Linked DNA regions of Lepisosteus oculatus. Each later gene encodes a partner of the first gene's protein in a complex. Links are inferred from orthologs where the notes say so. Each region holds a gene or a part of one and is shown on either strand. Other genes may lie near its edges. The genes, in order: fnip1, lamtor3 and lamtor1.

Region 1 (10,335 bases):
CCAAGACTTGAACTGTTTGAAAACATAGTAAATATTATTTTAATTAAACTTGTGAGGCACATAAAAGATAAAAATGATCAAAAGCCTCAAAATCAACAGGATATCAAAAAGTATCAACAGCAACAGTATAAAATAAAAAGCTTTCACATTGCATTGTACAGTATTTGGTGCGAAAAGCTTATACAGAAGAAAAAAATAAGGAAAATGCAGAAAAATCATGTTTTTAGGTCAAGTGTATCATGATTCCACAGTTCCGAGAAGTCTCGAAGCTATTCAAAATAGCTCAAACTGGAACATGATGACAAGCTGACTTAATGGTAACCATTAGTCTGATGAGCTACATCGCAGTCACACCACTGCTACAGTAACGAATCCAAAGAAATACTTATGGTAGGCTATATAATATATGTTTAAATTCATACTCTCCTTTATCAAAATTATTCAGATTATTCTTAAGGTTAGCAATAAGGGAAGCCTCTTATCAACCTTATAATCTCTTTTTAACATTGTTTTGTAGAACAAAGAAAAGCTCAAAATTACAAAACAAAATCAAAACCGGTCCTTTCCCTAATTTCAGGTACTATATATTTTATCACGATATGAAAGGCAATAAAGACAAGACAAATAACTATTCTTTCAGTATACTTTACTAACTCGACATGTAAATGAGAATCATTTATTAGTAAGGCAAAGGAAAGGGCATTTTCTGATGCTGGCATTCAAACTTGCAAAATAAACCCAAGAGTGCACCACAACAGACACTCAGCCGAAACAAATTTAAAAAGGCCCCACTGACAGCTCTCACCGAGATGAACTTTTACCAGATTTTGTTTGCATTGTATTAAGATTTAAGGGTGGAGTTTCTGATGCTATGAATGGGCTAATTTCCAGTGAGGCATTCAAAAGTGCTGGTAGCCCCAACTTTACAGAGCCTTTTGCAATGGTTTGGGAAACACAGCACTCAGCTGGATGGGAATAATTTGTGACCTGGGTTATCATGGGTATAAATACATAACATGCGTGTTTTGGTTTAAATTCAGTAGGTCAGCCAATTGTTTGACCTCCCCGGTATTCATGAGGACAACCCTTTCATCACTGTGTGCTCTAAGAGCTTAAGAGGATAAAATATGAGTAATCTATTCAAAAAATAAACTTCTGTTTAAAAATGTTTTTCACTTTTTTATTAGGGTAGTTGCTTAACAGACTATAGAGCTACAGCTTATCATTTGACACAAATGTTTATTGTTTATGTCTGTAAAATTATTTATATTATACTCAAATTAAACCAAACGACTTTGTCTTCAATCGCAAATTACAGATTTGGCTTCTAGCTCCGACTCTCCTGAAAATCTGGGGCCTTCATAAAGTTGATTTTCCCCAAAGAAACAACATGCAGCTGTATCAGTGATAATCTAGGGTGGGGTACTAATAATTATTCACTTTGCTACAGTGACATTTATGTGCTCATGGTCTCTTAAGAAACTTAAGTTCATTGTGAATTAATGTTCACATGCAGAACTTCCTGTAAGAAAAAAAACTGAAAGACTAATATGGAGACCAGACCGCCCTTATTACAGGAATTGAAGTGAGTCACATTTTAGGATGCGCTTATTTTAGCTAAAAAATTCATAGAGCTGATTCTAACAGAAAAATGAAGAAAGGATTTTTATTTCAAATTTAAGGGACTGCCCCTTCTGACAACATACCATTCACAAGCTGTGAGACTAAGATTTTTAAGTTTCACTACTGTTACAAATCCCTAACAGCCAACACCATTTTTTCAAATCCTTTAGCTTTGTAAAAAATGTGAAAAACCAACCCCCCACTTAAAAGTTACAATTCTTTTTTACATGCGCCATGAAGCAGAAGCATTCCAGATTTCTTACAGAATCTCAGATAATATAGAATTAAGATATAGAAACAACAACAATATTAAAGATATTTAAACACTTACTTGATCATTTATGTTTGACTGAATGAAACTTTAGTTTCAGGAATAAAAAATTCGGTCAAGCCCAAAGGTCAGGAATGGATTCTAACCCAGACTGAGTGACGTACATTAATGCAGGTAAAGCATTTTTATAGCTATAATTTATAGCATTTTTACCTATAATTGACCGCAGCAGAAAGGTGAAGTGTATTTATAAAGGGCCCATTCCATGTGCTTGTGATTAGCACACACAGCATGCTGGCACATAGTTCAGTTTATATTATGAAAGACTTTAGTTAAGTGTCCACCATTAGTGACAAAAAATAGGAGCCAAAATCAATGAAACCCCCTCCTTTAAAAGAGAAAACTTTCTGGAGTTTACTCTTTCCTCAGATGTGACCTCGTCCTACTACACAACTAGATTACATAATCACAAAGTTCATTAGTCACTTTTGTACTGATCAGATTCTAATACGCATTATAAAATCATCACCCACAAAAGAAATGTGGAATGACCTGATGTGCAAGGCCACAGAGATGTGTTGTGCATTACGGACTCATTTTGCAGACCCTAATTTGTGAAAACCCTGGACTCGCTAGCCAAATTAACATCAGGTAGTCCAGGATTAGTGATAATTAAGGTCTGTGAAACCACTGGGAACTCAATGATGTCATAAATACATCAGAAGAGGTACTGAATGAATGCAGTTGTGATTCCAATCCTGTTTTTAAGTAAAAATGCTGCATATTTTTCTGTATGGTTAGGTGTAAGGCATCTTTAATATGGAATTTGCTAATTTACGCTTTCAAGTTCAATTGCACAGACTTCTAGAGAATATGTGAGAGGATTCCAATTAAAGATTATCAATTCTCTAGGAATGTCCCTATTAAAATGCCTAAAAAAAGAGTATATCAAATCTCATGAACATAAGGTCTCACAGCTCAATTTATTAAGCCTCCCTTTCATTAAAAAAGGATAAAACAAACATCCTACTTCAATTGAAGATATCAAAACAAACCTAAAAATAATATTTAATTTCATACAAAATAACACAAATACTGATGAATGCAGAGGTATGGCCCAAAGACTTGGATAAAACAAAAAACCTCAACAAAATCAAGTTTTATTTGATCCTTCTTCATTAAACAGCCAGAGACACTATTCTGGCACATTGTAGAACCCCATGACAAATACGAGAATCTATTTTCTTCTTAATAAAAATGTGAACAAAAGAGCACTCCAGCAAGATTAAAATATCAACTATGAATAGTGATGAAAATTCTATGGGATCATTCAATGAAAAACTTAATTTATCTCAGATCAATAAGATACCAGTAACCACATGAACACAACTGGACCTAATATTACTTCTCTCAGTGCATATCTTCTACAAATATTAACATAATCAGTATATTGTCCTAACAAAGCAGGGGACTAGAAAAAATGCATTCTCCTAAAAAAAATCTTAAGAAAATGTTTTAATTTGTAACACAAAGCAATACCTAACAAAAAGAAATATAACCTCAAAAAAATGACAGTTTTCATTTTTGCAATAGATAGCGGTCGTGTTAGGAAATGTGTCTTGTGATTCATGATACAGCAAAACGAAAAAGTTTCACTCTGCAACGCGCAGGAATCCTGTCACATACTGTACGTGTCTATTTTAACTAAAAGGTCCCTCACGAAGACATGCATTTTTGGTTTTAATATCCAATGCTATATTACCGATAATTATTGTAGAATTCAGATTATTTAAATTGGGGGACTTTCCTGAGAGGGGCTTCTCAGACAGTGGTCTTCAACCCAGAAAAGTTGTGAAAGACCCATAATCTGTTCTACCCTTTTCATACCAATCTTTTTAAAGTACTGTACGACTGCGGTGAACACTTGCATGCATCATATACTGTACTTTTCACTCAATGCAATTTTAAGAGCATGATAAGCTATACTTACAAAATATGTATCAGACATACTGCACAGCACAGTTCTGGACTGTAAGAATATCTCAAATAAATACAATGCACAGCCTATATACTGTACAATAAATACATGCAAGCAGTGCCGACTATAAATGGTGTTCTAAAACATCAAATCTTTAATATTAATAGGGTGTGAGAGGGGAGGATATGAATTTTAGCTTTACTGACCTCACACAAACCCACGCGTTTTTTGTTGCGGTATACTGTATATAATTGAGTCAGACGCCCTGTCGTCATTCGAGAGATGAGTGAATTTTACATTCGTCAATGGTTTACAGTAAGGGGGGTGACCGATTGCAATGGATTTGTAATAGTTAATAGCGTTTTTAAACACGGTACTTAATCATATAACTTGCTCCCCGAACAGGCTGCATCCCAGTTCGTCATTCCGACTCTATGCACCACCTTACCCAAACAAATGTCAACACCCCAAAAAGTAAACTTGAATTCTGTAAAAATCTCACATTCCATATTTTAATGTAGCGAATGCGTAACCCAGAAACAAAAGAGTCCAAAAAACATACGGCTCTATTCTTCTTTTTGCAATCATAATCACGATGTTGTCAAAAACAAAGAGCAACCACGTTGAAACTTACGTTATCTTGATACAAACAGAAGCCATACCATGGCACGGTATTAAAACCAAGACCATTTGTTATGTCACGTACCTGAATGTCTGCTCGTCTTTTGCACACTTCGGAGGAGGCGAAAAGGCATTTCTTTTATTAAAAAGTTTTTGAAAAAGCGTAGGAGGCATTTTGTACCAAATACTTTGGTACAAAAATTCTCTTTCTTATCAATCCACAAGCACACCTAGTTCCTTGAAACTAACTCCATTTGTGTCAGAGTCATATGACAGGCATTAGTCACACAAGCTGCTAGGAAACACAACTCGATTTTTCTGATTGGACAATACTGCACCTTCATGGTTTTCAATTACGCGATTGGCTGTTATTTTTGGCAGAGCACCACGTGGTCGACAGAATTGCTGTGTTGATATTTTGGCGTGTGGCTAGGAAACATTTACAGAACTGTACAGAAATTATCAAAACCACACGTTAAACTTAAATATACGACGTTTCAATTTACATCTTAAGGTGATACATTGAATGCATGAGTCTTTTACTACAGAATGCACTTTCCTTAATTAAATAATACCAAGCATTGCTATAGGTTCATTACGTAACAGGAAAAAAATGTTGAAACTAATCTTATTTAAAATTAGACAAATCTAATGTAATGGTTTGGGGGAAATACCTTTATAGCATATTTCAATCAATTACATTTGCTAAATAAAAAGCTTTATACAACGAAATTGTTTTCATTAAACAGGTGTGATAACTCACTAGAAAAGGCATATTTAAAATAAGTAAATTCAGAACAAAAATCACGCTAAAAAAGATAGCCATTACACAAAATGAGTCTTCAAATGTCATTGTATCAATCTATTTTCTCTTACATCTGTAGAGGAGTACTGTAAATGCAGAGCTTGTTGCACATCAGTACTGTAGATAAATACTTAAAATAAGAAAAGCAAGGTAGAAAAACCTATGACTTTCTTTAGTCATTTTCAGCTAAAACTACACAAGCAAAGTTAGTAACATCTTGAAATTTGAGTGACCACTTCTTTATAAAATGACCTAACATTGGAATAATAAGATTGCACGAGACTGCATTCTGGCAGCATGGTGGTGCAATGGTTAGCATTGCTCTCATGCAGTGCTGGGAGTCTGGGTTTAATGCCTGACCTGGGGTACTGTCTGTGTGGAGTTTGTATGTTCTCATCATGTTTGCATGGGTTTCTTTTATGTGCTCTAATTTCCTCCCACAGCTCAAAACCTTTCTGCTAGGTTGAGTGGCTTCTGGGAGAATTGGCCCTACTGTAGGTGAGAGTTTGTGTGCCCTTCAATGGACTGGAGTGTTGTGCAGGGCATATCCTTTCTTGTGCCTGTTGCTGGATGAATGGATGAACTGTGTTCAGATTTATGTATACAAAAGCAACAGTCAAAGTCCGAAATCCTGTTCAAATAAACGTTTCCTCTTTATAGAAGTTCAAAAAGATTACATTAATTTTAGGTGATGGATCCATTTTAAACATCTGATTGAAATTCTATTCTATTCGATTTTCTAGTCAGTCAGTGCTTGTTCACTTTATAATTCAGATGAATATGACATCCTGCTGCTACATGAAATCTGTTGGCTCTTAGGTTAATAAAACTCAGCACATCTGTGCATCTTGCTCTTCACTGGTTACAATAAAATATACACCCAAGCATGATGCTTAGCTGAAAAAGTTCTTTAAGTGTTCACTTAACACTAGTGACCAATTTCCATCTCATAACTTCAACACAAAATGTTTACCATGCGCAGGTAGTTCTTAACACCTTTAAAGAAAATGATCCTCATTAAAGGCAACACTGCCCTCTACCGAAACACAGAAAGACTATCATTTAGCTCATCCGCATTCAACACCAGACAGTGGTGTATGATTTGCAAAGTGTGCGAAATTGAAGACAGTTTTGTTTAATCTCAGTTTTAATCTCAATATAAAAAGTATAGATGTACAAAATGTATAACAATAAAAAAATCCTTTTTTAATTAATATCTACGAGTTTTTTACATGAAAATGTGTCCACAGAAACAAATTTAGTATTATTCGAATAGCAAAACAAATTACAGTCGAAACATTTTTATTCTTTTCAAATGTACATGTTATTTCTATATACACAAAGTTTTCCTAAAATAAGCTTTCAAGCCTTTGTTTGAAGTAGAGGAATCTGATTAACCTGCCTTCTTATTCAGGCACAATTTATCTTTTCATTCACTGAATAATATAAAAAATATTAAAACGGTTATGCAATGTTATTTCCAAAATACTTGCTAAAAATAACACTCAAACTGTACATCTAACTGTCCTCATTTGTTCCCATACATTTTGTCTCTTGCACCTTCTTTGTCACCAGCTCAACTGAAAGTGAAGTTTCTGCCCCAGCACCATGTGGGAACTAGAGAAATGTGAAAACAAATGAGAAAAGCAAAAGTCATAGTTAATTAATTCATTCTTTTTATATGCTCCAATTTGGAAATGGCCCCACAGCACCTACACCACAGTTATGTTCTCCTGGACTTGTCCCTTGAGGAGATTCTCAGCTCTTTGGCTTGGCTTCAGCCTCCAGGGAGCATCATCTGTGTTCTCAGCTCAATGATTTGAGTATTTCAAAGTAAGAGCTCATTCCAGACAACACTCATACATCATGAAAATGTTTATACCGGCAATAGTGCTGCTGCTCTTCCTCAGAAAAAAAGAAAGACAACTCTTCTGTACGTTTTGGCAAGAAACATTTGAGCCCTGTAGTCTGCGATGTGAGGTGTTTTTGTCTGTCTGTTCTACCTGGATCTGTACTTAACAAATATAGCAAACAATGTGATCTCCAGGCATTATTTAATCAACATCAACGGCATCCAACATTTGGTAAAGATGTGAAAAGTCAACCACAACTCGTTTTCTTAATGAGTTGCCTTATTCTTCTACTCCAGTTTTGTTTTATTGCAGTTTTCCTGAGGGAAAAGGACAGAAGACCCCAGATGATGAGAGAGCATTGCCTTTTGAGAAAGTGTCTGAAGTCCCATGCGACCTACTAGAAACCCAAATCATCGTAATAGCCCTTGTGTTCCTAGCTTGTGATTTTGTAGATCTCATTAAATCACCACCGATCCAAAATCGGGAAACAACGATTAATTTGTTCAAATAAAAAAATGGTTTAATTAAGAAATTAAGAGCTGAGGTCCTCCAGGACCGGGGGTACCCAGATTTGGTCTGAGGTATACACATTTAACTCTTGACCCTGGGCTTGTGGGTCTCAGCCTTCAAGACTGTACTCAACCAATCCCATTCACCTTGTAATGTTCTCACAGTATAATGGCCTAAAGAAAACACAACCTACCTCTTGCAGAACGTCTTGATTTCACATTCTATCTAGAGGATCTACATTCTTCTTTGCAGATTTTTGGAAAACTCTTCCTTGATTTAATTTTCTTTCAGGAAACCTTGTATTCTCTCTCTCTGGTTTAGGCTTACCACTCTCTTCTGTCACACCTTGTTCAGCATACCTTCCTGTGTTGTTTTGGATAGGACCCATATTTGTGTGGAAGTACTGTACAGTAGATACCAACCAACAATCAACTTTCCCTATAACCTTAATTTTGTAGGATTTCTTGCAGTGTTTTTTTGCTTTCATAATCACAGCTAACACCCTTTGACTGATCTGAAGAGTAGCACAGCTCATTTCTGTAATTATAAAGAAAGCACAGTTAACAAGCACTCGAAATAGCGGTACCAGTGTTCACTGTGATGAGGGGAACTCACTGAGGAGATGTAAAGTTCTTAAATGTCTTGACTTCTTAAACTTCTTCATCCAAGCACACAATCTTTCAATCCAAGTACACAATCTTTCAATCTGTATCACATTGCATTACATACCATCTTTAAATGATAGTTATGAACTGTTTGACTAAGTCCTCGGTTTGAAAGTAAGAACTGGTTTAATTATTTCAGACAGAAGGATATACAGAATTAAACTTAGAATGGAGACATAAAGCTGAAATGAGCCATAAGTGACCATAAGGCCATATTTTAGGGTGTTAGAGTGCGCATTATAACTGAATTAGTATGCATAAACTGATTGAATACATATTAAGATGAGATATGGACAAGCTTAATAGCTACTGTACTTATCATCTTAGGTGCTGCTGAGGGTAAAAAGATTCATAGGGAATGTCATCCTGTCCTTCTTAGTTTCTTCTTTACTGTTAGATGGAAAACTGAAAAAATAGTTCAAGTAGGTAGCTGCGTCAGCATGCATAGGCTGCAAAGGAACAAGTAAAGGTTTATTCCATGCTGAAAAGCGAAGAAAAGAAACAAAGTTTTGGTTGCAGACCCTTCTTCAGGTGTCTCACTCTCTTCAGTGTGGAATAAACCTTTACTTGTTCCTTTTTGAAAACAAATGCAACATTTTTCAGAACACAGGGCTTCCTGAGCCCCACAGAAGTACCAGAAAGTTGACAGTCTGACGTCACTTACTATTTAAGTAAAATTAACAGCATTACGTGGACTTATCAGCGCTCAATCTGAATAATTTGTGAAGCATTATTATAACTTTATGTTAAAAAACAGCACCACAACAGGCCTAACTCTCAGCAGAACCGTGTATCCCTTTATAACCAAACTTAGTCTAAATTAAACCCATGTAAGAATAAACTGTAGCTTTTTACCCTTGACCAGTTAAGTAATTATTCAATTAATACATCATACAGGTGAACAAAACAGAGGCCTAAACGACCTCTAGTGGCAGGTCAGTGAAACAATAATCATCAGTATTGCTGACCTGCTACACACTGTTGGCATAATTAAATACACAGCCAGAACATTAAATAGTTTATGCCTACTATTGTGGGTATTATTATACCTGTCTAGTGGTTTTAAACAAACCACATCTCATTAAGACAGTATTCCTTATTGTTTTTAAAATATATCTTTTAAAAATGAATAAATACCATCACCCTAGCTGATCTCAATGTACTGTTTAGCTTTACAAACAACTGGGCATCTTTTGCTTCACTTAGTTCTTGAAAGACTTTCTGATAACAACAATCACCATAATTAATTATTAGCACCTTCATTATTATACTATGATATTATCCTGTGCCTTGCTTTAACCAGAACAAAATCTCAAAATGATCGGTCTGGTGAAATAAAAATAAAATTCAATATTCCCAAAATTGAAGGATGCATAGAAATTAAACAGCACTACAGTAGTGTGGGAAAGTATTGTACACCAGTATCTCAACTGGCCGTGAATCTAATGTTTTTTTAGTTCTTGAAGCCACTTTAAATTAGCCACTGCTCTTCTGTTTTTGTACAGTTTATCAAGGTAAAAACTTTATTCCTTTGAAAACTTGGCAATTGTAAAGTAGGACAAACTTAAGATGTTTTTCTTTACCAAGTTCTTGGAAAACATTGCAATGAGAAAGTCACAATATTATAACTGTACTGTAAATAATCCATTTTGAATTAATAATCACCCATCCAGTAATAAAATGAAAAACAATGAGTAAGGAAGCAATGTAAATACAGATTAGACATAAACATTTATTAAGTAAAATTTCTACAATGTTCTTACATTTTATGCTGTATTCTTATTTTTCCGATTTGTTAAAATTTATGGAAAAACGAATTAATGCAAAATTAATGACAGCCATGATACAATTAGAAAACAGCTCAAAATTAGGTTCCATATAATTAATTTAAATCTTAACCTCTACAGACCTTCATAAGTCTTTAATAATGGGAGTCATTTCATTGTTGTGGATTACAAAATAAATCCACAAAAATACAAAAAATCATAACAATCACATCTTATTTTTTC
Region 2 (10,014 bases), on another chromosome or scaffold:
GGTAGATTATAGAAGAATGTTTTATAAATGGGCTACAAACTCAGAATCTAGAAGGACATACCCGTGTTGGCACTGCTGCTTGCGATAAAGCTGATTACCAGTGGCAATCGATTAAACTGGACAATCTAAAAAGAGGAAAAAAATCACAGGTTAAATGGACAATCTATAATCTTTCTGAAATACCTCATCTTTCAAATTTATTTTTTCCCACAAGTACAAATGATAATGTCATAGTAAAGCTATATTTCTGACTGTTTCACTGAATCTTGTTTTATCTCTTTAAATTGTCACTGTCTTTAAAGTGATTATCTGACATCAGAAAAGATGTTCAGAAAATTCAAAATTTCTATTAAATCATCTGGAATCACATTTACAAAATGAGGGCTCTATAGATGTTTAATCAGTAAATGTATTTCAGAAAGCAGTCTGAGCTGATGAGTCCACTGACTAAAGATGGGGTCAGGGTAGGTCATTATAAGCTGATTGTGAAGGGGTTTTCCCTAACTGTTGCAGACAGCTGGCAAAAGTACTGTATATCCAAATTGAAGAGGAAGGAAAAAAAAGTATCCTCAATTGTGAGGAAATGTCTCTCAATATAACAACATCAAAACAACTTTCAGAAGTACATTATTTGAAAGTCAGTTCCATAAGTCTTTCAGAAAAAAAACATGTCTAAAATAAATGTTATATATAAAAGAAATAATAAATCATAAATCACACTTAAATTGCTATGCCAGTACCAGAATTAGTACTTTTATGTCACTACCCAGTGATGCCACAAATACCCCCTCATATAATTCTTCTTATGTTCATAAGCTTTAATTCAAGAGCTTTTTCTTGAAATTAGGTTTCTTTATCACTGAATAATGAGAGCCTTTAGTGATTATAATGAATATAATGTACTTTGTTATATGTCTGTTTTTGGAGTAATTATTTTTTTATGTCTATGAACTGTTAGCAACATAAACTCCCAACTGGGGATAAAGTGTATCACATCATATTTTATTATACAAAGGGGAGAGAAACATTCTTTTGACCTTATTCAAACCAAAATACTACCAGAAATTGGTATTATTATATCGGGCCTCCATTGCTAGCTCATTTTCCCTTTTCTGCTGACAGATTCTGAAACAAAATACACCACTTAAAATGACCAGGTGATACTACAACTGATTTAGTAATTTGCCTGTAATGTTTATCTTATGTATATGTTTAAGTCCACTCTGTCCCCTTTTGATATATCAACTTGTATCGGTGAATCAGGTTACAGTCTTCTGCTTTAAGTGCCATCAAAGAAAAAGATCACCAATATCAATATCACCTGGTATGTGTTATAGTAGCAGATGATGCTCTTGTTTTTGGAAAGTCCCAACTTGCTGCCTTGGTCAGTTGCCAATGCAAATGTGGACAGAAACCCCGGTCTGAGAGCATATTCAGGAGCATTGTCATTTGCAACTGTGAAAAGAAAATCACAACTGTCAAAATCTATCAAATACCAGTAAGAATGCTGTCAGATGTGGCATTGGTCCTAATTATTTATTACTCTGTACAACAATTTTTAAATATGCATTTCCACACATGCAACATCAAACTAAAGCATTTTTTAAATGTATCAAATCATATTTAATCATTATTCTGAATTAATTTTGCTCAATTATTTGAAAGCATGAAGTATACCTTATACACACACTATAAGTATCATACAACTAGCACATTTATACACCCCAAACTACACTGTAAGAATACATAAAGAAAACAGGATAAAAAAATCACATACTTTTCAATGTGATTTAAATTCTTAGGCAGCTAAAAAATCATTTACAATTCTTTACATATTCACACATTATTAGTTACTTAACTTTGCACTTGATTATTAATTGAACAAGAATTGTGTGAAGCTCACATACTATGCAAAATTGTTATATGTAAATCTGTGACTCAGACATGAGGTTATGCATATTTAATACAGCTGAAATGTCAATTTCATTAAGATTTTGGCTGCATTTTTAATACAAACATGACAGAGCACACTGAATATCTGAAATGCATGTGATTAACTATCTGCACTGTAAAATAGGTGAATCTTAAATGTTTACGAAAATTACAAATTAGTGTAGAATGGTCTCTAAGAAGAACAAAATCATCAGTATTACATTTCATTGACTTCTGTGATGAACTACTTAATTTTTAAGAAAATACATTATGACTGTACTCATTAATGTTCTATATCATGATAAGGGCAGAGAGAACATTTGACCTGAAGTAATAACATGCTTAATGCAATATGCGGCAATATAGGAGTGAATTAAATCTGAAATGAACAAATGATTACCACTAATGATAGTAATCCATCACCTACTTCATTTAAGATAATAAGGCAGCTTTATACATTTCTAGCTTGTTTCTTTCTTCATTCTATAAATGTACCTTTTATTACTGGTACTCCATCTCTGTCAGTCACTACAATTGCATGAAGGCCTTCAACGCTGTTTAAAAAAAATAGAATTTTAGAAGACAGAATACAAATACATTTAACAAAAGGATGTTTTCTAGACTAATCTGCAGCTACAGGCTAGGCATTTCAACTATTTGTCTTTATTCATGAGGAAGAAAGGGATACACAGAAAAAAAAACATTTCAAAGGATACTAACAATTAAACGGAACAAAGACCTATCAGAGGTTTTCTTCCTTTTTCTGGTGGAGAAGTAGAGAGGGGTGCATGATCAGCAACTCTGCCCTGAAATGGTTATATAAACCAATCAATATACAGTGATAATACCTTTACGAATCAGAATCCCCAAATAATTCTAGAGCTGGTTGTCAGATGCAAATTTACATAATGGAGGGCAATTTTAAATGATTTATAAAGGTCTCAACTAAACCAGCATTGTTACCTGCAGTTACCCTTTTAATAATAATAATAATAATAATAATAATAATAATAATAATAATTGCTTACACACTTATTTAGTGCTTTCCTGGAAACTCCACTCAGGGCGCTTTACAAGTACAGGTAACTACCACCAATGTGCAGCATCCACCTGCAACGGCAGCCATAGACTGCGGCACAGTATGCTCACCACACACCCGCTCTCAGTAGGGAGGAGAACAGATTGATGAACCCAATTCATAGATTGGGATTATTAGGAGGCCATGATTGGTAAAGGCCAATGGGGAAATCTGGATGCTGGGGTAACACCCCTACTTTTTTCAAGAATTGCCTTAAGATTTTTAATGACCACAGAGAGTCAGGACCCTGGTTTTACGTCACAACTGAAGGATGGAGCCCTTTTTAAAGTATAGTGTCCCCATCACTCTACTGGGGCATTAGGACCCACACAAACTGCAGGGAGAGCACCTCCTACTGTTTTTCCCACAAGGTCTCTCATCTAGGAACTGACCAGGCTCAAACCTGCTTAGCTTTAGTGGGTTGTCAGTTGTGAGCTGCAGGATGATATATGGCCACCGATGTAAGCTTTTGACCTAAACCATTTAAGCGGGAACAATAGAACTATAGACTTGACTTGAAATCATATGTAACATCTTGGAAAACTTTAGCAACATATATCAAAGTAGAATTTTGCCATAAAGCACAAGGATCAGGAGCAAAGGTTGAATCATTTTGTTCATAAGGAATTAACTTCAATATCAAACTACTTGTAGGCCATTAATTAAAAACTCTGTTTTCTGATTCCTGGAGGAATCGAAAATGTTAGTGTAATTTAACATGGAAGGGGAAGTGCTGTTTTCATATAGGCCAAAGTTTAAATGCCAGAACTTTATAATTAATTTTGGCACAGTTTTACCTTTTTATAGGGAAACGTCATAAACCATGAGCTATTTTTTTAGTGTTTTTGTCAAGGCAATTTTCTGTTGTCATAGATATTTTCCAGGAGGTTTTGACACCCAAGTATTTACTTCTCTTTCACATTGGGAAACACTCTCCAACCTATTATCTATTACCTCTAAAGGAAACTGATATTTTAGTGCTTGATTCATGGCAAAAGGGGGGGGGGGGGGTGAAACAATCCTTTGTTTGTCTGTAGTAACAGATAACTAAAGTCCAGTCCACAAAAACAAAATGTCTAAAAACGGTGTAAACATTTTAAAAACATGTTGCAGTTCACTTTGCTTAACCATGATTAAGCAATAAAGTACGGCAGGGTCTAGATACTTCTGAATATAACATTTGCAATTTCACTTCTTCACAGTTTGGTCTGGGGGTAGAGTTCTTGTAACGAAAGAAGAGAACTGAGGCGGAGGTTATTAAGCACAACTTTCAAACTAGTTGCAAAACAGACAAGGATTGTGAGAGTGTTTCTCTTCCCCCTGCCCAAGTACCCACTACCCAACATCCACATCTCACCTTGTTTTTTTATAGTAACATCTTGGTAATATTTTATTAAGTATATCTTGGTTGAATTTATGGTGTGGGGATTGACAGGCTGGAGATGACCTTACAGGCTCACTGAGAGCTGCCTTTTTCATTACAGTGGGTCATCAATCAAGCAGAGAGAAAAAAGTGCAGGTATCTGCTGAACATAGAGGAGAAATTAAGCTAACTGATCTCTACAATTTTTGTGATTACAATTGTGTTAGTTATTTTAATTAACTTAACGCTACTGCATTAGTACTTTAATCATCATATAAGGGGAGGGATAACACATGTCTGTTAACCATACATACTATATGCAATAGTGCACTATATAACAGTATAAAGGTGGTCTTGCTTATATGGCAATTCTGCTATTTTCTCTGCGCCAAACCCTCACAAATATTGAGACCCTACTGCATAGAAAATGCACCTAACATTTATGTTGTACCACTCTTTCATCACTAGTGATTCTTAAATATCTTTTAGATATATCTTAAATATAGATTTCTCTATAGCAAAAAACAAATTAAAGTTTTCAAACCTTGGCAACTGCTTATACAGATACCTCTTCAGCTCCTGTGAAAAACAATCAGATATAGCTGTTGGAGGGATCTGCTGTTTACTAGTGCATTCCCATTATGAGAAGGTTTGTGGTTACAGACAGCACTTTTATACCCTTCACACAATGTAACAAAGCTGGTTTAAAAATACTGAAAGGGTACATTCCATATACATAAATAAATGAAAATATGAACACTTGTTAAAGATGATGGCCAGAAATGTAATATTGCATTGCTTTGTGGTCACCTGGAAGTGTCTCAAAGCTGAAATGTGGAAAGAGATTCTAGAAGTGATCTTGATGAAGTCTGAGTAATACAGCAATTTCTTCCTTTCATTTGAGTAATTTTTTATCCCAAAGTTTTCTACATATAGATAAGCACCTGTTTGAATTACCACTGAAGTGCAATACCCACAGTGCTTCACAATGAAAATTACATTGTTCTTATGGAGTATTGGAGAAATGGAGTATACTGGGGCATTAGAACAGGATTTGGAAAAAAAAGGGAAGAGTGCCACCTACTGTTTCTACCAACAACACCAACTTACAACAGCAACCTGAATTTCTCTGGACATCACCCTTAACAGCACTGACCTGCTTAGCTTCTGAAATCTGATAAGATCAAGACATAATGTTGTAATTCTTCTGTCTAAAAATAAAAACTGTAAATGAACTTTTCACCTATTTACTGAAGAGCTCCCAAATCACACCTCCTTATCTAGTGTTAATCCCGCTTTTGATTGACCAACACGACCTCCATATGACTAGACAGCAGAATATTTATGAAATGTACTACAGAATGTACTACATAAAGCATTTTGCTAGAGCAGGAAGCATAATTTGGGGGAGATGGAGAAGTTCTGCATGGAAGAACAGTAAGAAATCTAACTTAAATATTGTCAGAACAAATTAAAAGGTTACAGGAAGTGATTTTTTATTATTATCAGCACCAAAGGCAAATGAAAGAAATATTAATTGCTGTAGGGTGAATAGTTTTTAATATTGTATATTTAGGACAATTTGCAATGATTTTAGAAATATTTGTTTTTGCTGTATTTCAAACTGTCCTAATATGTGTTATATTTTAAACCCAACTTAAGTTACACAGTAATTGTTCAGGCTACAATTTGTATACAACTGTATGCACTTACAGTTCCTACACCCAAAGTTAGGAACTGCATGAAAAACATAATGATAAGATTCATGCAACAGTGGAAATTGAAAATATGTATCCATTAGTATCAGATTTGTTTTCCAACATTCACTGGTAACGGTTTGTCTTCTCTCAATTAACATCCTGCAGCAACGGAAAAAAAAAAAGATCTGCAGTTTGCTAACATTAACATACAACATTTTTTAGACAATTTATACAGTAAATACTTACATCTGCCATTTTCTGTGTTTTTATTAGAAGTTAAAAACCTAGAAAGTAAAACAACTAAAATCAGATGTTGTGATGAAAGGACAAGAGCAAGGACTGGAAAGTGTCATACTTTTTTCAAGAAATGTTTCTAACTCCAGTTTTTTTGCATGAAACTCTGTTTTATTAAAGGAAATGTATAAAACTGTAAATGTATAAAACTGCAAATCTAAATAACAGTAATCTACATCTCTTAATGTTTCAAATGTGATAGTTTAGTTACATTTGACACCAACATCAAATTTAACACTCGTTCAAACTAAATCGTCTTTCAGCAAATAATATAATTTTTAGACGGAAGTGTGAATGTTTCTGATACTGTAGATTAAAACAACTTAATTGCCACTAGTTCCAGTGGCCAGAATAAATAAGACTATATATTATATTTATTGGGAATACCTCTGTCAAATAAGTATTATTTTAAAATAAAAATATTATAATTTATGAGTAGTAAATTAATGTCTGATATTATTGGAGAAGGAGGTAGAAAATATTTAGGGCTTCAGAATGGACCGAACGAAAAAATAGATAGCACTTCTCCTTCTAATGTCAAAGACAACGAGCATTAACATTTACGTTTAATTATTATTAATTATGTATAATGTTAATTAAACGTACACTTAATTAATAAAGAAATAGGAATAAACGTTTTATCAAAATCAGTGTCAAGATAAATGTATAGGATAATTTAGAGGCACTATATGTCACCTTTTTAAGCTAGATGACCTATCTCCTACTTTTAATTTCTACTACAAATTAATTTCAAACTGAGACCTCAGCGGCTGAACCAAATAAAAAGGAAACGAAAAGACAATGTGTCTATGATTCCTTTTAAAAAAGAAAAAAAATACGATAACCTGTTCAAAGGCAGAATACTCTAATTGGACTTATAATGCAAAATAAGACGATATTACCTGCTTCTGCTAGATTTTTACGGAAGGTTTGTAGAAAATGAAATAAATCACATGATATTTACACAGAAACGGAAGTATTTTAACAATTGACCTTTCAACAATTGACAGCTTCCGCTGTCACAAACGTAAAGAGTTTCCTATCGTACCGTGCCTCCCCATAAATGTGAGCATTCTTGTTTTAGTTTTTTCTACATTTATAAAGTATACTGAATTAAATAAAATGGGAATTTTACAGTACACCTCACATATAAAAACAAAAGAAACAGGAAACATGGTTATAAAGGTCTCAACTAAACCAGCATTGTTACCTGCAGTTACCCTTTTAATAATAATAATAATAATAATAATAATAATAATAATAATTGCTTACACACTTATTTAGTGCTTTCCTGGAAACTCCACTCAGGGCGCTTTACAAGTAGCGGTACAGCAAATCACAGAGATCATTAGAAGTGAAATACTTATGAGTTACATGAAAAGAACATCTAGTTTATAACTAAAGATAAACAACTGAGGATTAAGGTTTTGACAAATACGCTGTAATGATTCCAGTATCTGTGACTATGAGCTTGATCATCAAAATAGGATTTCCTGATTATTTGCATTACAAGCATTTTACGACAGTGTGAATCCTTGTGGTTACAACTGACTTACGGTAAAGGCCACGTGTGGTTGTAGGAAATCAGCGCGGCGTGGTGGTGTAAAGAACATATTGGGCATTTTGGGAGCAGGCGGTATTTCAGATAAAGGTGAGGTAAATGTTTTTTTTTTAAGATGTGCTTATGATTTTTTATTGGGTCATGCTTTATAGTCTAGTTAAAGTCCAGGAAGTTTTCCAAACTATTTTATGAGTCAGTTTGCTTTGGGGAGTACCTAAAACTGAACAGTTTGGTTATAGTTTAATTACTTCACAATTCATACCTACGTTAATTTCTACATAAATAATTGTATGCTTTGGTTCAATCACATATTAAGAGTTAATCGGCATTTTTGTCTTCATCACTTCCCCCTAAATTAAAGGAGATATTTATGCATGGTTTCAAAGTGAACGTCGTGAAAAAAGTAATGTCGATTAATTTCAATGAGCAACGCACTTCAGTTCAGTGTGGCATAATAAAGTGGCTCCATCTTATTCATTACCATTTTGGAACATGTGCTTTGTCCACTGAAAGCTAAAGTGTAAGTTTTGTTGCGATCTCACCCGATTCTAATTTTTTTCCCCCGCGAATCCAAAATTCATGCGAAGCATGAACAGTAGTTGAGCTAAAAGGGAGTAGTACTGTTTTCTTTCATTTATGTATTATTAAGTGAAAGTCAATTCTGGTACTAGTACCCATTTATATAAAAAAAAACTGCAGTCAGGATATGAGGTTGTTACAAAAAGCTGGTCAAACTGTGTCAGATTAATCATTTCAATGAAGTTTCAATTTGCCGAGCAAGCTAGTATCAGACGGGTTTTTTTTTGTATCTTATTCTGTTGTAATTTGGTTTTACCCAAAATGCTGTCTTATCAGCCCACTTTCTCAATGACACATCATAATATGAATTAATGTTATACTTTTTATACTAATTAAGAATATTATTAATACTCTTATGCATCATACCCTAATCTGGTGGAGTATAGCTGTAGGTTTTTAAAATTTAATTAACCGTTTTTGTTTTCAATAGTGTTAGAAGACGTTCCCACAAGGAACTTTAGAAAAGAAAGATTCACATAATTGTGGAATTGGTGATTGAGCACTTCCAGGGGAGGATTAGGATTAATTGATCAACTCGGTCTCGGTTTTCAAGCAGAAAGTAACTCCTTGATTTTAATGAGTTTTAACTCTTCGGTAGGATAAGGCAGACCACATTGCGTCAGATTGCTCTGCAGAGAGACAGGTTTTAGGGAAGTTTGTCTCATTCCTAGTTATTCACAATTGGTAGTTCTCAATTGGAAATTGAGGTAAAATATGCTTTTACCTGTTGAAGCATTTAATTGTTGGAGTAACGTTTAAGAGCCAAGATGGTCAACCAAGGTGGGATCACGAAATCTAGGTCACACATTCTAAAAAAACACAAAACTCTTTTAACTTAATGGAACACTGCATTTTGCAGTCGACGTTTAGGAGGCCAGGGCTTAAATTTCACTTTAATTTTTTTTTTCTTGTGCAAAACAGGAGGATCAGAAATGTTTTGTGAGTTGCTCAAATGGCAGTAAGTGGGTCTGTTTAGTATAGTAATGTAAGTAAATGATCTAAGTGCCCGAATGTCATAAATAATATAATAAATGTCTTGTCATGCTTTGAATAAATAAAAAATGATGCTCTGATGAATAATTATAACACTTATGTATCATGTCGATGTTGCTGTATGCAAATGTGAGACTGTACGGTTTTGATTGTAGCTTTTGTTCCTTAACTACTGATGTATCCTTCAATACTACAGAAACCAGGATACATCCCAGCTCTTTGGACGTCTGCTGTTTATATTTGAGCAAAATACGTTTTTTTGTGTTGCAGATACAACACTGACCAAAAGGCCAGTGGGAGAAAGTCCTTACTCCTCATGAACTGTTGTCTGTTTTCTTCTAGCAATGTCTTTCCGTGGAGGAGGTGGCCGAGGCGGCAGAGGAGGGGGGTTTAATCGAGGTGGACGAGGAGGTTTTGGGGGCCGGGGCGGTGGGGGAGGATTTCGAGGTGGTGGCCGAGGAGGCTTCAACAGACAAGATTTTGGACCTCCAGAATATGTTGTTGGTAAAGAAAC
Region 3 (10,500 bases), on another chromosome or scaffold:
TATAAAGTGACCATAAATACATTAAAAAGAAAAAAAATACTCTTGTATTTTTAAGTATCTTGACATTAAAACTGTTTGAAAGTACAGCAGCCATTGACTTTTCAACACTAGGTAAATGGATGAGGACCAGTCTCCACATTCCCTCAATTCCTGTTTCTTTTTTTAAAAAATTAATGAACCTCAGATTAATAAAATGTCTTCTGTTAATAAAAACTAGGGCTTGAATCTTTTGTTGGCTTTCATTTTCATAACTTCCACTTTCTCAAGAAAAGTCATTAGTGATTAACCGACATGATTGCAACACCAACTAACCATACAAACCTCAATCACACCATTATTCCTTGCCTCCATGCATTACAAAATCTGTACATTAAAGGCACTGACAAACTAAATATTGTTTAAACTCATCAGCTTCTTTTTTTTTTCCTTTCTTAAATTGCGTGCCCGTGAATTTTAAGTGCTGGTTAATTGCAAGAGAAAATATAGCAACAGCAAATCTCAATGACAAGAAGGGTTAAGCACTATGTGAGTTTGTACATTTAAAAAAAACGTGGTAATGAATCTCTATGGTCCTGGCCTGATTGTACCGTTCTTAAATTGTTTGCATACCAGAGGCTATAAAATGTGACAAACTGTGTAGTGTTGTGTGAGAGTTTTGTGGACTACATAAGTCTAGGCTGAGGTTTCCCAAACCCAAGACATTTCAGGACAATAAACTGGATTTGGTCACTGGCCTCCAGAGATGTAAATTAACAAAATCAACCCACTGCACAACCAGATACGTGTTCCAGTTAATCTCTGAGCTATGGGTTTCAAAAGAAATCCTCAGGTGGACCCAATATCATTTTTGTTTTCATAGTGGCATTCACTTATGGTGTTCTAGCCATAAAAAATGCTTAACCAATGAAAATCCAAGCCATAGTTTTAGCGCCATCTTACTAATACACTGAGAACAGCATGGATCTGAAATTCCTCCACAGGTCACAAAAGAGATTCCTACACACACTTTAGAAGTTCCTGTTCGGTACGAGTTGACCTATAGTACGAAAGTTCGGTTTCCAAGTCGATCAGCTGTTGATGCTCTACAGTAGCACCGCTGATGTCTTGGACAGAGAGAGATGGAGGGTGTAGTTAGAAACATAAGGGAGATAAAGAAAGAAATCGGAGTAGACCAAGGACAGAAATCTATCCTCAGGCGCTCAGGGAATAGCAAACTGCACCACCAGTTCCTCTTTTGCGTCAACTTTTATCTGTGAAATTGCACTGTATGCATATGCCGCTACCTTTGAAACCTGGAAAAAAAAAAACAAGTCATTATTAAAATCAAAATCTAACTTATTCACAAAACAAACAGGAATGTTTTGCATTTATATGAATGTCTAAAACCGTCTATCCATCATAAAGTCACTTATTTCTGGAAAGGTTTGCAACAACCTGGAGCCTACTCTGAAAGCACAAGGCCTAATATACATATTAACATATAGTGGCAGGTTGTGGCATATTTAGCAATGATTGTGAATATTATCAAGCTATAAAAAGCAGGATTGTTTACCTGTTGTATGTCCGAGTATGGCACAGGATCACTTGCAAGCACCTGATGGGGCTGGCTAGTTAGTGAGGGCAGAGGTGCAGGTTTCTTCTGTGACAGTGTGTTACTGAGGCCTACCAGCCTTGTACTAAAACATAAGCAGCAGAAGTTATCATTAGAATTTCCACAAAACGTATTACCTTCTTTCAAAGAAAAAACGATCCAGCACATCACTGGATTAATTGGCGTTTTAACAAGACTGTCGCTTGCATTCCATTACGAAGATCATGCTAAACCTCATCTATAATCTTCACAAGCTAAGCATTTCTAACAGCTAGAAGGCCATTAGTAAATTTCGACTATGACAAATTTGATATTCAGGCCATCTGAGGAGTTCAGTTGAAGTCAACTGCTCAAGGAGTAGCTGGAGTTACTGTTATCTGTTTAGTGTGTCAGTTAGTGGCCTTAATCCAAATTCTATTCAGAACAAGGCTGCCAAATGAGTTTACTGAAATGTTAATTTCCCTCCATCGTGCACTTAAGTGCAATACGTAAATAAAGTTTAACTCTATGGTTACAAATAAATCAAGAGACAGATACTCAATATGCTTTCAACCAAACAATCCTTATGAACAGACATATGACCTATGTCCTCTAAACAAACGGAGTAATTAAATTTAAGTGCCTACAAATTGTAAGGGGCTTTATTACTCTTGTGTAAATGATACAATATAAGTGGACCCAATTATTGCTCCGAGTGGTAACTGAAGTACTCTGTATTTCTGTGAATATTTGTATATCATCTTCAAAAGAGCTTGTCTTGCACTCATGGGTAGCCATCATCCACAGTAACACTTTAAGTTTGGTTTATTTTTTTGGAGAGTAAGTTGGAGTCCAGGGTTTAGCTGGATCATGGCTTCCACTGGCTACAGACAGTGGCAAATTCAGGACAGGTATCATGTTATACAGAAACCAAGCACTGGACTTTTGAAGAGATACATTTTCCAGGAAACATTTTAGATGTTTTTATGATTCTGTATCAAAAGATTCTAGCTTTAATACTTCATCAGGCAGAACCTGTTTATCATCCAGAACAGGAATTTGTTTTAAGGAAGCAAAGATATTTTTAAATGTCCTAAGAACAAGCAACATAGTAGAGAGTTGGAAGTTTGAACCTACCTATATTGTCGAGCTTTGTCCATGTACTCATGCTGCTCCATTCCCTGGGAGTCTGCAGCTGAGACATCAATTATATTCCTGGAGAGCAAAACAAGAATGAGCCTCTAAGTTCCCTGTCCCCTCAGTGTGTTCAGACTACCACACAGCAGCCAGTCTCACTGTGTGGATAAGATGCTTCCATTCCACCATCTACTTACAGTGCTGTCTTGGTGAGGATGGACGTGAGGAGGGCCTGCTCATCTGTCCGCGCTGAGGGAAGGCTGGCTGAATTCCTCTCTGCTCCGTTGGTTGGTTTATTGTCCGGGTTGGGATGGGGGATCAGCGGTTTCCTCTCATCTCGGTCCTGAAAGGCAGCAATGGTGCATTTCATCAAACGCAAGCAGGGAACACCGGGAGTGAGCGCCTTAGCTGGACAATTTAAAAATCGCAAATTTAGAAGCAGATGATGGGTTGCTTGCTAAATATAAACCCTGGGCTGTTATTTGTCTGCCAGGACTGAAGCTTAGAAATACCTTGCAAATCAGGTGATGAAAATATTCCATATCTCAGTACAATATTTTAAAAAGTACACTGTGAACTACACCTTTGACAAGAAATACAATTTTCACCATGTCTGCCAAACTGAACACAACGGCTAAGCAATACATGAGTTTTTACATTTAAAAAAAAATGTGGTAATGAATCACTATAGTCCTGGCTTGAATATGTACCCTGTATAAAATGTGACAAATTGTGTAGTGTTGTGTGAGAGTTTTGTGAACTATGTAAGTCTAGGCTGAAGCTTCCTAAACCTTCCTTAACTCAATAACTTTCAGGACAATTAATTGGATTTGGTCAAAGGCCTCCGGGGATGTAAAATAACAAAATCAACCCACTGCACAGCCAGATACATGTTCCAGCTAATCTCTGAGCTATGGGTTTCAAATGAAATCCTCAGGTGGATCCAAAATCACTTTTGCATAGTGGCATTCGCTTATAGTATTTTGGCCATAAAAAATGCTTAACCATTGAAAATCCAAGCCATAGTTTTAACAATGCAAAACTAAAAACAATGCAAAGTGTTATACTATAAGCAAATATCTTTCTGAGAAGACATGATCAAATAACATCCTGACACATCACTGAGGAAAAGGAACAGTAGAGGCTGGTGTCCAATTGGCTCATTGTGCATGCACTCTGAAATTGTTCCGCCTGTCACTTTTTTTGTCCCACATGACTAAATATTTCATGCAAGGGACAGTTTGTCATGTGATTTGCACATTATTGCAAAGTTCCAGAGTCATGTGACAGACGAGGTTATTTTGTCATGCTGAATCAGATTCGTTTGTTGTTGTTGTTTTTTTTTTTGCCAAGGTTGAAAATTAGAGAAAAAAAATAAGAAATCAATAAATCTCATGCTGCACATTCTTTCGTTTCAGGTCATGCAATCCTGCATTCCTGTAGCCTTGTCATTTGGGTACTTTAGAAAACCATCTTTACTAAGTTCTAGCCCTAGTATGTTTGCCCGTGTAGTACTTTTGCCCTTTAGGCCCTACTAAACACACTACGTCTTCACAATTTTTGGTACAAACATTTTCTTTCTATACGGTAGCTAAAGGAATAGAGATGTTCTCTTCGGGTCAATCCAGTCCCGCATACTCCCTCTCTCAGTCTCCCAGGTTATGTTACATTAGGAATGCGTGTTACTGCTACCTCGACCATTGCTTCACTAGAACAGATCACAGCACCTGATCAGTGGCCTCCGTCTCGCTGCTATAACAGCAACCCATGGTATCCTCTGGGGGCTCTCGGCTCTCTGCCAGGCGAACCGAATGCAATCTCCAGCTTTTCTTCCCGGTAAACTAATTAAAGAAAGAAAGAAATTCCGGTGTGCAGGCTTGGGAAGACGAAAACCAGCAACCCCCTTCTCTTCTGTTCCTTCCGATCTTCCCCTCTCTCCAAACCCCAGGCTTGTAGTCACATGACAACAGCTCTGTAGCAATAACATATGACTTCCGGCTGACGTGAAGCGGAGTTGGGAGAAACCAAAACACCCTCAACACGTGATACAGGAACTGAAAATTGACCGTCTTGTCCGCCAGCTCCGTGCAAGAATAACAGTGGGGGTAGATTGTGATAGTACAACTACTGACATCTTTGTTGCTGTGTTTTGTACCGTTTTTGTTGTTATTACGTATGGTTTTAATTAAACATAACTAAAAAAATGTTGATTGCAAAGAATTTGAAAATAAGTGTAAATTACTAAAGCTGGCACTTCCAACACGTCCTCAAAGCACTGTAGTTAAATAACAGGTCTCAATTTTATAACCCTCAATAAACACATTTCCCGGATGGTATTACAGATGGCATTACACAATGCCTGGTTTAAAAACCAGTTTGACAGGATGTGTCTCGACCATTTCCCTCTTTAATTTAGGTGAATTACAGATCAGTCATGGCATTTATCTCCTAGCAGAACACCAGAGAAACACTCTTTCTCAAGCTCTGCGAAGACGGGGGACTGTACTTGGCGACTCGTATTCGTACTTGCAGCTAATGGAGGGAGAACCCAGCTTATCTTTCTGGCAAGTATGGTGAATGTCAATATTTAATCTTGAAACAAGAGACTGGATGCCGAAATGCCTCTTAAGCATCAGTTTGAATAAGTGAATAACGTCAATTAACTACACCGAAGACTGATTGTGGGGTTAAGAAACCTGATTTAAAGGCTTTTTAGTACTCAAAAGTACGAACGTCATGATGGCGGTATCCATTCCGTTTCAAGTTTGGATACTGCTCACATCCTGGCGCGTCTGTGCAGCTGACCCTTCGCTACAGTTCGCCCCCACTGGATTCAGCGCCAAGCGCCAGGTCTGCAAACCCATTCCTAACACGATGGGTCTGTGCCACGACGTAGGCTACAGAGAGATGCGCCTTCCCAACCTGCTGGGCCACGAAACCATCAAGGAAGCGCAGCAGCAGGCCGGCTCCTGGGTGCCGCTGCTCTCCAAACAGTGTCACCGCGACACCAAGAAGTTCCTCTGTTCCCTCTTCGCCCCCGTCTGTTTACGAGAGCTGGAGCGGCCCGTCCGGCCGTGCAGGAGCCTGTGCGAGGGAGTCCGGGACGGCTGCCTGCCTGTCATGAGCGCTTTCGGGTTTCCCTGGCCTGAGATCCTCAACTGCAGCCAGTTCCCGACCGGCGCCGAGGTCTGCATCCCGCCCACGGCTTCTCCGTCCAGCGACAACGGCAACCCGGGGCCCCACAGCAACGATATGGACGGTTTGTTGGAATTCACCTGTCATTGATTGTGTTGGTTTCAAATACTATTTTTAAAAGTCTGTCATCGAAAAGACACAGCGCGCTTTGCGAATTTACCTTTAGAGGCGCCATATAAAATCAATGTATTATTATTGATTTAAAAAAATCTGAAAGCGCATAAATTTAAAGTGGAAAGCAAGAGATTCGATTCTAGGGAGCGTGTTATGAAACGCGCAAAACGATACGTGGTTGTTAAGAGGTTTTGCATTAGACTTCAATGGTTGTGCCACTTCTCGGCTGGTCGTGTTTGATGGCAGAGTAGTTAATACTGTCTATAACAATTTTCTTCCCCGTAACATGACATCTACTTTCTATGAGGCAGAGGTGGGAACCTCGAAACATTGTCTGATATTAATCTACCACTAAATAGAAACACAAATTCGAAATAAAATACTTAAACGTTGTTCACTTGAAATGCTTACCACCCTCCGAATGTTTGCCGGTGAGTTGCTGCTATCTTTGCTTTTCTTTCATGTGCACGTTTTAAAGACGACTCAACTACGAATATGTTTCTAAAAAGATTTTTCCTTGAAAATAAATTAAGATTCCTTTTTCCTTCGCACAGGGACATTGATATGCGAGGCGTGCAGTTTGCCAGAAGGTGGGAAAGAGATTCTGGAGAATTACTGCAAAAGCGATTTTGGTGAGTTCAATAAAAAGTGGATGATCAGAGCATGTGCTGGAGTACCTTTCCTAATCCAAATTTTGTACGCTCCTCGTATGGTGCATGTGTTTGAATTCTATGTGCTCCTGGTATGTTATATTTGTGTTTAATTCGTGAGATTAAATCAATCCACCCAGCATATAAACATGCCGATTGCTTCAGAAAACACTGATTTAAAGTAAATTCTAATTTAAATCCAACTGGATGGTAGTTGTATTTAAACAATATCAATATCAGATATTTAAAATATCAGCTTTTAAAGAAAATATGTAGGAGTAAGGCTACCATCTCAAAAAATACCCTTATTTTTACCTGCATTTCCACATAAAGACTATTAAATTTACACTTTTCTGCTTTATTTGTCTGGATTTCTATACAGTCGTGCGACTAAGGGTCAAAGAGACACAGTTGCTGGGGGCTGACCGGAAGATTGTTCCTAACGGCAGAAGCCGGGTGGTGCTGAGACAAGGTGACCGCGCTGAGGAGGAGTCGATGGCTCGGAGCGCCCTCTGGCTGCCAGAGGGCAGCAGGTGCGCCTGTGAGGAACTGGATGGTCCCTCCTCTGGCATCATTCTGGCCCTGGGGAGCAGACAGAGAGGTAGACTGGTTCTCTCCAAGCTGCTGCTGTGGCAAAGCTCTGACAAGGAGCTGAGGAAATTCCTCAGGGGACTGCAGAAGCTCCGCTGCTGAGTGGATGGATCTTTACGTGTGTATTTAATGGGGAAAATAGGGGTGGTGAATATTAATAGAAGATATAACCTCCCTGTCCAGTATAACAGAAAAGTTCTCAGGGGTACAGAAACACCACAGTATAAATGACAAAGGTCTGGTTACATTAAATACCTTTAATATCAAATATGGAAAACGTTTCCCTCACTCAGGAAAGAGATTCCAATGTTTAAAAATGCTTTTCTGCATCAGCCATGTACCTTTGGGTCTCTTAAGGGCAATACAATGGGGAATTTAACTGAAGGTGTTGTATGTAACTAGCCATTAACAATTTAATTACTATATCAGAAAACATTGAATTATTTATATAAATGACAGCATTGGTGCATACGTTGTGTCATTTTCAGAAAGCATTTTTACAAAATAATAAATAAACATCAGCATTGTTAAGCAATAGCTTTTCCTATGATTGTTGTGTTTTTTGTTGCATGTTGTTTTATTACTGTAAATGAAATGGAAAATATTTCATATGTAGGTGGTGGTTGTGGGAGGGGGCATTAAATTGAGTCTACATTAAATGACTTTTCAATTTTTTTCAAGCCTAACAAATATCGTACCACCCTTTACAATACCCAGTAACATTTTTAGATCAATGTTACCTAAATCCAAGTGTCCAAACACAAATATAGTAAATTGTTGGACAGTACAGTAATTGCCGAGGTTTTAGAATTTCTAAATGGTTGTATAACAAAAATAAACCTCCATCAAATCGAAGGACTTCAAACCAAAAAACACGTTGATGGGGATGTTGTATTTTCCTGGTTTTTTTTTAGTAATGTGTTTTTTTTCCCATTAAAAATTGCTTGAAACAAAGGCTTTGTGATCTTTGAACAAAGGTCACATTACCAAGCCTCCCGGGGGTGAACTTGTGATGCGTTCTGGAGAATTCCTGTCGACGTGTTGCTGCGATAAGCGGGGCAGGTAACCCTATCCTTGAGGATCCCGCACCTCTTTCTCTCTGCGAATTACTGGATCAGCTTGGGGTCGCATCAATAATTCACACACCTCCTCTTAACAGCGGTGACTCGGCCAATTTTACCTGTCTTGCATTTAAGGCCCGAAGCTCAACACAGAGCTGCGTTTCCCCCAGCCCTAGAGTCTTCATCCAATATCTTCTCGAAACAGGTTGGTCTGAACTGCATTACCAGTGTTCTGATATTCAAGTGTGCTTCCGCTGTTTGTGGTCTGGGGTCTTTACTGTGATTAGTTCACATGCTCTGCACTAAGCATCGCTGTGAGGGGAACTGTTCCCACACTCAGGATTGTATGACAAACTGACCTGGGATAAAAGACCTGCAACATCTAGCTGTGATGAAACTGAGTACATAAATGTAAGGTGCTACTGGTTTGCTTGAAGCTTCTTTTGAGGCTCTGTACAAAATCAACAAATGTATGTTTCTGTGGTGTATACTGTAGACCACAAGTACAATGTATGGTATTATTTTTAAGGTGTATAAATCGATAGTGGTGCATCTGTTGTTTTTTTTTTATCTATTCTTGTAAGGCATGACTCCCTCAGAAGTGCGATAAATCCTCAGTCAAAAGAACGTGGCTCTGGCTGACGAAACATTTGAATAGCGCTTGTGGGTACGGGTTTTATGAACCTTTGGGGGTGCTGAAAAGAAAAAAAGACCCCTACAGCCAACTGGGACTTGTATCTCAAATTTGTTTTGTGATTATTTTAGGTCAGCCTCTATCATGGTGTCCCCAGCGATCGCACTGGCGTTCCTACCTTTTCTGTTGACGCTGGTGATCCGCTACCGCTACTACTTCGTGCTGTTCTACCGGGCGGTGTTGGTGCGCTTCATACAGGACTGCCTGAGCGGCCTGTCCAGGGAGGAGCGGGCGTTCCAGTATGTGCTCACGCACGTCACTCCGGGAGACCCAGACAGCATCCTCGAGGCTTTCGATCACTGGTGTAGGAAGGTGGAGTACATCAGCAACATCGGACCCAAGAAAGGTGTCTATTACTACATACAACCCCCCTTTAACTGTGCATGGTGTTTTCTTCCTGGTACTGTACGTAGGCTGGACGGGTCAGGGGATAATTGTTGACTATTTTTCTCGCATCGCATTTGAGATAACGACTTTTTTACAAACTCTCTGTTGTTACTGATATTGGTCAATAAGACTGAAAATACAGTTTCAAATAGATTTGAAATACAGAAATTCGCATTTGCAACTTCTGTTATACTATCTGGATAGTTATAAAATGCGCATTAAAACGTTCTACGAAATTCACATAACATGTATCATCGCACGTAGAAAGGGGTAAGTTCACAGAATTATGGGTAGATTAGTCTTATAATGAAAAAAATAGTACAGAGAATCAGCAAGAAAAATATACTGTTGTTATATTATATCGTAGTAATAAATTGGTACACTAATCGCATACAAAGATGACTTCTTTGATTGTTTCCATCTGTGTGGTTTGTAAATCCTGTGATTACAGGCAGACTCCTGGACAGGCTGATATTAGAAAATGCCCCTCTGATTGTGCTGGAGCTGGGCACACACTGCGGGTACGGAGCCGTGCGCATCGCCCGCTCGCTGCCTCTCGGTGCCCGACTCTACACAGTAGAGATGGACGAGCGCAACGCCGCTGTGGCCGAGAAGGTCATCCGATTGGCCGGCTTTGATGACGACACAGTAAGACTCCTTGTTTATTGATTTATCAAGGATAAAATCACCAAAAAACATATAACAAGTTATAATGTATAAGTACTGCTACGTGATGATTTTTACAACGAAAACAACACCTCTCAAACCATTTCGCCCTGACATTGAAACGAGTAAAGGTGAATTCTATACTACGGAAAGAAAAGATTCAGTTTCGACCGTTTTACACTTTTTAACTGGTGAAAGTATTCAGCCAGCGTACACTAACTCAGTTCACTCTTGGTTTCTGAACATATTGGATAGATCAGTTCTTCACACATTGTTGCTTTCTTGGGACACTTCTCTACTGGGTGCAGTTTTCGGGTGAAAACTAGTTCTTGGACATTATTGGACACCGGATTTATAGGAATCAATGTCCCAAATAATATACCGTGTTGCATCGATAACTTACAGAACACAGAAGTGGCACGTACTGTACTGTGC

The links.
Region 2: fnip1 (region 1) and lamtor3 share a complex: the UniProt entries of both Homo sapiens proteins name them as parts of the lysosomal folliculin complex. The link is inferred for Lepisosteus oculatus from reciprocal best matches to the Homo sapiens genes FNIP1 and LAMTOR3.
Region 3: fnip1 (region 1) and lamtor1 share a complex: the UniProt entries of both Homo sapiens proteins name them as parts of the lysosomal folliculin complex. The link is inferred for Lepisosteus oculatus from reciprocal best matches to the Homo sapiens genes FNIP1 and LAMTOR1.

The regions. Positions count from the first base shown.
Region 1 is NC_090706.1:24,569,162-24,579,496, forward strand, and holds the start of fnip1 (folliculin-interacting protein 1), read right to left. Parts: upstream 4,750-10,335; 5' UTR 4,668-4,749; coding exon 4,579-4,667; intron 1-4,578. UniProt on the Homo sapiens protein: Binding partner of the GTPase-activating protein FLCN: involved in the cellular response to amino acid availability by regulating the non-canonical mTORC1 signaling cascade controlling the MiT/TFE factors TFEB and TFE3.
Region 2 is NC_090696.1:56,883,266-56,893,279, forward strand, and holds the start of lamtor3 (ragulator complex protein LAMTOR3), read right to left. Parts: upstream 4,551-10,014; 5' UTR 4,490-4,550; coding exon 4,368-4,489; intron 2,487-4,367; coding exon 2,428-2,486; intron 1,456-2,427; coding exon 1,322-1,455; intron 126-1,321; coding exon 62-125; intron 1-61. Other genes in the region: gar1 (H/ACA ribonucleoprotein complex subunit 1), read left to right, coding at 9,845-10,004. UniProt on the Homo sapiens protein: As part of the Ragulator complex it is involved in amino acid sensing and activation of mTORC1, a signaling complex promoting cell growth in response to growth factors, energy levels, and amino acids.
Region 3 is NC_090700.1:12,728,745-12,739,244, reverse strand, and holds the start of lamtor1 (ragulator complex protein LAMTOR1), read right to left. Parts: upstream 4,651-10,500; 5' UTR 4,477-4,650; coding exon 4,435-4,476; intron 3,051-4,434; coding exon 2,905-3,050; intron 2,786-2,904; coding exon 2,708-2,785; intron 1,677-2,707; coding exon 1,553-1,676; intron 1,293-1,552; coding exon 1,200-1,292; 3' UTR 1-1,199. Other genes in the region: sfrp2l (secreted frizzled-related protein 2-like), read left to right, coding at 5,444-5,966, 6,571-6,648, 7,049-7,359; tomt (transmembrane O-methyltransferase homolog), read left to right, coding at 9,097-9,358, 9,851-10,047. UniProt on the Homo sapiens protein: Key component of the Ragulator complex, a multiprotein complex involved in amino acid sensing and activation of mTORC1, a signaling complex promoting cell growth in response to growth factors, energy levels, and amino acids.